Linked DNA regions of Tribolium castaneum. Each later gene encodes a partner of the first gene's protein in a complex. Links are inferred from orthologs where the notes say so. Each region holds a gene or a part of one and is shown in the gene's direction. Other genes may lie near its edges.

Evidence for each region.
Region 2: eIF3e (region 1) and eIF3g1 share a complex: the UniProt entries of both Homo sapiens proteins name them as parts of the eukaryotic translation initiation factor 3 (eIF-3) complex. The link is inferred for Tribolium castaneum from reciprocal best matches to the Homo sapiens genes EIF3E and EIF3G.

Annotation. Positions count from the first base shown.
Region 1 is NC_087394.1:22,552,142-22,556,579, forward strand, and holds the start of eIF3e (eukaryotic translation initiation factor 3 subunit E), read left to right. Parts: upstream 1-1,591; 5' UTR 1,592-1,679; coding exon 1,680-1,769; intron 1,770-1,817; coding exon 1,818-2,096; intron 2,097-4,438. UniProt on the Homo sapiens protein: Component of the eukaryotic translation initiation factor 3 (eIF-3) complex, which is required for several steps in the initiation of protein synthesis.
Region 2 is NC_087395.1:17,787,635-17,790,776, forward strand, and holds eIF3g1 (eukaryotic translation initiation factor 3 subunit G), read left to right. Parts: upstream 1-1,519; 5' UTR 1,520-1,636; coding exon 1,637-2,482; 3' UTR 2,483-2,531; downstream 2,532-3,142. UniProt on the Homo sapiens protein: RNA-binding component of the eukaryotic translation initiation factor 3 (eIF-3) complex, which is required for several steps in the initiation of protein synthesis.

The DNA of each region.
Region 1 (4,438 bases):
ACTTGGCAAATTGTCCAGCATGAAAGTGAAATTCCCTAGGCCCTGGTGCCGCCCAGGCATCCTGAACTGATATAGCCAAATCGAACCCTCACTGACACAGCTTCCTTGATTAGTGAAGGGAAGTACCCTTTACACGGCTGGTCGCATTGAACAAAAAAAGTGTTTTTTGACAGCTTACTTTATTGTAGCGCCATCTATTAGTTGCTGCTGAAAAATTCACTTGGTGTCAAAGGTGACAGCCGTCATATTTTTTACAAATTTAAGTTTTCAACCTCTTTTGCACAAGATTTATACAAAATTTTGCCAACAGGAAGGCAAGACAAAGCTTAGTTTCATTTTTTTTCCACAAGTTTTAATCAAAATTTGAAATGCAAAGCATTTCGACACTAATGGGTACATTTTGTACAGTTGGTTGCAAATGCGTTCCAACACTCTTTTGATCATTTTCGTGAGCATAAAAATGTTTGTTTACCATTCGGCAAAATGTTCAAGTTTGTATGACGCTTTTTACGTTCGTTTTGTGTTTCGCAGTTCGCTCTTGGCATAGGCTCTTGGTCACTCACATGGCAACATGCGCTTTTGGTTCCTCACAGTAAAAACACGTGCCAAATGTTTGTAGAATACGTTTTCTACAACTATACAGCTAATACTAATGCGTTTTGCCTTAGAAATCTTCTGCACTGACAGCAGTGTGACAACACTTAACCTTAGAACTGTCAGAATTGTTTTACTTTATAGTGGCTCCCTCTCAGAAACAAAAATATGCCATGGAACTAAGCAATGCGGCCAGCCGTGTGAAGGGAAAGTTCCTTCATTAATCAAGGAAGCTGTGCTCACTGAAATAGGATTTACTGATGATGCGGATAGATGGCCTTAGTGTTTTACGGGAAAAAGAAATCCTATTGGCGGATTTAAAATTTCATATTACTGAAGAAAAACGTGGTACCGATGCGCGGCTGACAAGTAAAAATTTCACAAACGTCAGCAAAATTTGAGTTTATTTTTTATATCACGTTAATTTTTCAAAGTTTTATTAAGATAGTGGTTCAAGGTGTCGTGTTTGGGTTAGACTATTGCCTACTATCGGTTAGGAACAACATGATCTCCAAGAATATAACGTAGTAATGAGCTCCAGAAGGTTTTCATTGATAGGTGCGTTTTTTCCAAAAGTGAGTTTTTTGAGAGCGAACCGCAAGTGAGTCACACTGTGAGGAGATTCCCATAGACAGAAGTTGCTAACATAAGGTGCCAGTTTGGCTGATTGCAAGTATGTCTTTATCATCGATGCGGTGACGACTATTAGTTTTGTAAACTTAATGGATTTAATAAATATCTTTAATATTAAATGTGTTTAGATCGTGTCATGTTGGGTAAAATTCTTCTATTTGTGCTGTTTGTGCATCCACCTTTTCAAATACAATTAGAAAATTTTCATAATAATTGTATTTGATAAGGTTTTGACATCATTTTGACGTGAGCAAAAATTTAAAAAATACAAAGTAATCGGGATTATTTAATTCGCGCCATTTTTAGTACGTGATGATGCGGCTAGATGGCTCCAGCTAGGAATTCATTGCCAACCATTATGTTCCGCTTCTATAAAAGTGTTATTCTAGGGTGCCGCCATATGTGTCACATTTTATAAAATCTTGTTAGTTTTTGCATAAAAACGGTATAAAATGGCCCAATTTGATTTAACTTCCCGCATGGGGCAATATTTGGATCGGCACTTGGTGTTTCCATTGTTGGAATTTTTGTCGGCTAAAGAGGTACAGTTTTTGAGGTTATGTTCATTCGGTTGATTCCGAATTTCGTAGATTTACGATGAAACGGAATTGCTTAAAGCCAAATTAGATATTTTGAGCAAGACCAACATGATCGATTATGCTATTGACATCCGAAAGCAGCTGTATCCAAATGAAGAAGTTCCTGAAGATCTGAAGCAAAGGCGTCAACACGTTGTAGCTCAGTTACAGGAGCTTCAACAGGAAGTGCAACCAATTTTGAAGATTATGGCCGACGATGAGGTCATGAAGAATATGGAAAACATGAGGGATTCGAAAACTTTGATTAATTTCCTTTCAAAGGATTACAAAGTAAATACAATGTGTTCAAAAATGGTTGTTCACCCAGTCGACTATGGAAGTCAAAAACAATGTTCCGCTTCGTTCAAATCATTATTGTAGTGTTTGAATACTCTCATCTCTGTCAAATCTTAGCTTTTTACTCACTTTTTTGCATTTCTCAAGTGTGGGGTTTGCCGTCATTTGTGTTTTACATCTCGGTGAAATTTGTTGTGTACTCTTTCGTTTTTAGATTTGAAGTTTTTTTGCATTAATTTGACGGTTTTGTCGCTTTTGACGGCATTCACAATTTAAATTAAGTGGCACATTACGTTCAAATTTCATAAGTGACTTGCAATGAACAATCATTTCTGAATAGTGTGTTTGGACGAATACATTTTTGCAAAGAAAATGCACGTCAAGCTAATGAATGTTTATTTTAAAAAAAGAAGGATAAATTGAAGAAATACCTTTATTTGTAACTTATGACCTACTTAAACACTACTTTAAAACACTATATTTAACATGAAATTAAAACAAAGAAAAATAGGAATGATATTTGACAATTAATTGTTTGAACAAAAAAAAGATAGATTTTTTTGTAATTTCAATCTTTATTGGCTTCAATGACGACTCAACTTAGCGCTGGCATACTTTTAACGAATCCCTTACAAAATTCTGGCGTTTTATTGTTCCAAATATGTTCTATTTTATTTTTTAAATCTTTCAACAACTATTGAGGAAGATTTGTAGGATACCTTTTTACTTTGTGCCAAAAAGACTCAATGATATTTAAATCAGAGCTGTTTGCTAGCCACTCAATAAACTGACGTGGAAGTGTTATTGATGTTAACGAAAATATTTAATATAATGTTTTAATTTTTCTGATATGATATTAGTTAAGCAAATAATAATAATAGGTATTTATAAAATACAAAATATAAAAACTTGATTAATCGAAATTTAATTAATTCTGCAGTGTCTTTCTGGATCAACGGCGTATAATGCTATAAGCAAAAAATTCTTAAGAAAAATTTTTACGAACTTTTTGCACAAAACATTTAAGTATTTCAGGTGTTCTAAAATAACATAAGAAATAATAACTTTTGCAGCGTTTTAATATCATGTAATTTGATTGCGATTTTATGCAATTAATGAATTAGTAATTGTTAAAAAAAATAAAAAAACAATAAACTGCCAAGGAAGTTTTATTGATGTTACGAAAATATTTAATATTCAAAAAAATTATTTAATTCTACTAGTATTAGAAGTTGTTACCATTTAATTAATAAAATAAAAAAAAACTGTGGGTCGGTCTACAGACAGCGAAATTAAAATTTAATTCCGAATTAGACTAATTCGAGTTTAAGTTGTCATTTAAAATGCATTGGCAAATGTCAAGTTAATCACTAATAAAAATTTTATTGTAATTGAAATATTCTGTAAACTTCTTTGTTTAATTTAATTTCGCAGTTGGCAAGTAAGGTATAATCCTGCTTTTTCCGTAAATTTGTGCTAATGCGAGAAGGGTTAGCTGGTTTGATCTTCCGGTGATTTCCGGGGCAAATTGTTCAGTCAGTTACAGAATTTGTTATCACTTATAATGCAACAAAAATTAATGAAAACTTAAAAGCAATTAAAGAATGTTGGCATATTAATTAGTCACACAAAAATCAGTGTTTTCTATTAAATACTTAATTTTTTTCTCAAAGATTTTTTTTTATTTTTTTTTACATTTCCTTAAATAAACATGAATTACTAAAAATTATGTTAATAAAATTGAAAATATTATTCCGTGTAATTAATTAATTATTAATTTTATAATTTCAATAGTGTCTTTTAAATGAATGATATTTTAAGCAAAAAATTCTTAATAAAATTGTTGCTAACCTCAAAATTTCGATTTATTAAATTTTAATATTTTATACAATGTGTTTTTAAATGATTCTCATCCAGTTAACTTTGAAATTGGTTTACATGTAAAAAATTGTGCCGCTTTGCTCAATTGAATCCTCTGTTAATAAATGTAAAGTCTGTCAGTTGGCAAATTCATTTAATTTGTTTTAAAAACTTCGTTAAAATGTAACTAAATTATTATACCGTGCAAGAAAACACTTTTATTTTTTAAGCTTACTTTATATTTGGAGCCTTAATAAATGGAGAATGGTAATATTCGATGTCTAAATGCCTATCATTATTTATATGAAGCGGTATTTTCTGATTTTACTGTAGAAATTCACAGACGACTAGATGAGAATTATTTAAAAACACATTGTATTATTTATTAATATTTATTTTATTTTTTAATTAATTAAGGGCCAGTTTTATAATCGAATTTAAAGGAGCATTAAATTAAATGTTTAGAATGTGAAATG
Region 2 (3,142 bases), on another chromosome or scaffold:
CCTTCACAAATTATGTACCTGTTTGCTACAACTCTAGATTATTCGATAACTTATTTTAAAAATGATTTCAATTAAAAAAGATTATTCGATAACTTATTTTAAAAATGATTTCAATTAAAAAATGGTGGAGGCGCCGGGTTGTTTATTTAGTAAAATTTTATAATATTAATAATAAAATGCTAAAATGAGTTTTCTCATTTTATTTTATTTTATAAATTGTCCTAATTTATATACAGGTGTCTCAGTAATGTGAAAAAGTCCATTATTGGCTTAAATTTTAGAAAATTAATTTGACTCACCTAAAATTATTTTCAGGTATTATAGGGTATTTTTGAAATTAGCTAAAATGCAAACATATGTTTTTTTAAATAGAACACCCTATATTTTTTTGCACTTTTATATAATTTATAATAATTTTCAAAGAGGACTAGATTTTTTTTTGATTTTTTTTTCAGTTTTAAAAATTATTTTCAGAATTAGATAAAGCAGTGACCGCATTTTAAAAAACTTTCTCGCCTACAGCCCGAGTAAAAGAATGTATCCTGGAAATCAGTTTAAAAAATGTGCTGTAGAACACTGTGGAATGTGACCAAAATTCGACTCTTTTTAGCTCCCTTTATTATAGTTTGGAACACATTTCTTTGGCAACCCATTGAATACATCCTTTGGATATTATGTTTGATAAAAAATAAGTTTCATCCAGTAAGCAGATCGGTCCAGGACGACCTTAGCTGGGATCCTCTATTAGCAAAATCAAATTTTTTAAAATCACGTTGCTCAATTTTTACATATTTCTCTGAATGGACGAAAATTTAATTAGATCTAATTTAGCATTCCCTTTATACATAATCGTATTTTTATTGGATTTCAGAGACATTTCAAGTTATTTTAACTCAATTTCTCTTTTTTATCTAAGGCGGCGCAGAATGTTTCTTCTCTAGAAGGCTGTGAAAGATTTTTTCTAAAGCAACAGAATCGTAGCCGTAGCCTTCTAGAAGGATACCTAAATTTTCACAAATGTCTCAATTGGCGACAATACATTTATAAATAATAAGCTGCATTTCTGCACATCATCAGAAGCAACATGAACCAAAATATCAACTATTTTAATGTAGGTATACTTACGGCGTTACACAGTTGCGACAGAAAGTTTCACAAGCAAAAAAACTTTATTATAGCCAATAAACGGATGCAAATTTAACACTCCCGACACAAATTTAACTAATTTAAGAATGCAAAACATTAACTATTGGCAAAAGAACGCAAAACACAAGTCACACATTTTCTGTGTACAAAATCTAGTAGTTGATGGTTTTCAAAGCCACCTTTCCGAATAAGTTTCCCAATTTTAAAATTTCATTACAGAATCCTGTAATTATGTGTTTGTGGGTTTGTAACACGACAGCCCCGTTTGTCGGGGTTTATTTATTAATCGGTTTATTAAATAAATTTTAAAATACATGGCTTTATTAAATATCAACAAAATTAAATTGTATTGCAAAAAACAAAAATAAATAATTTGCAACGAAATTCCCCAAAGGTTGGCGAGTCTGTTGTTTGACAGTTTGAGGTTAACTTTTGTGAACGTGATTGTCGCACCATATTTTCCAAAAAAACGTTTCAAAATTAGCTAAAAATGCCTGTTGCCGAAGAGGTCAAGTCCAGCTGGGCTGACGAGGTGGAGTTGGAGGGCGGGTCGCTCCCGCCCCCGACCGAGGTGTACGAAAACGGCTTCAAGATCGTGACCGAATACGCGTACAACGAAGACGACAAAAAAATGAAAATCGTGCGGACCTACAAGATCGAGAAGCGCGTCGTTTCAAAATCGATCGCTTTCCGCAAGACTTGGAAGAAATTCGGCGAGTGTGCCAACGACAAGCCTGGCCCGAACCCGGCCACCACGATCGTCGCCGAGGACGTGTACATGCAGTACATCACGAGCAAGGAGGAGGACAACAAGCAGGAAGACGACGCTTTGGAGAAGCTGAAGGCTCTGGGCGACAAGAACGTGGTCAAGTGCCGCACCTGCAGCGGGGACCACTGGACCTCCAAGTGCCCCTGGAAGGACACCATGCTGGCCGGGGGCAAAGTGCCCGACGACAAGAAGGGCCCGGCGGTTCCGTCAGGGTCGGATGCGGGCAAGGCCGGGGGGTCCAAGTACATTCCGCCGAGTTTGCGAGATGGGGCCGTCAGGAAGTCCGATAATCTCAATATGGCGCGCAGAGACGACGCCACGGCGATTCGAATCACCAATCTTAGTGAATCTACCACTGAGACTGATTTGGAGGATCTGGTGAAGCCGTTTGGCCCGATCCAGAAGTTGTATTTGGCGAAAGACAAACAAGCCGGTTATTGCAAAGGATTCGCTTATATTCATTTCAAGTTTAAGAACGACGCTGCTAAAGCCATTTCTATGCTTAATGGACACGGTTATGATCATCTTATACTCACGGTGGATTGGTCTAAGCCACACCCTAATTGAAATGTATTTTATAAGTTTTATTTGTATTGAATAAAAATGCTTTAGCTAATGTTGCGTTTTTTCAAACCTACAATACAACAAAATACGTAGACATTTCAGTTTTAAATAATTCGAACAGAGGTGAAGATTGGTACAGGTCTTAGGTACACTATTAAAATAAAATATAGAAAATTCTCAAGTGTTGAAACTATCAGCTCTTAGCATTTTTCGCGTAAACGGTAGGTAAACATTACGGTAACTTCTCGGAAAAATAAAAAATCCCAAGCAATTGAGTTTTTTTAACTCGAGAGGTTTGTAAAGGCATACAATACCTGATAGAACTTTGCTAAAGCTAGTTAATTGTTTTGTTTTTTTTGAAAAGGTAAAAAATCTTAGACAATAGTTTAAGAAGTCTGCAAAATATTAACTATTGCTGGCTAATTTAGCAAATAAATAAGGTTGGTTTTTGGTTATAAACTAACCAATAAAAATAAAATAAAAGGTTAATAAACTAACTAAAAGATTTATTAACCAATCAAAGAACCTTCTGGTTATTTAATATTAATAAGTAATAACTTGACTGGACAATAATTAAAATGCGAATATAGGATTTTCCTTTTATTTTTTTTTCGATTTTGCTTTTTAAACTTACGTTTATTTGTGTCAAAACAAATACTAAAG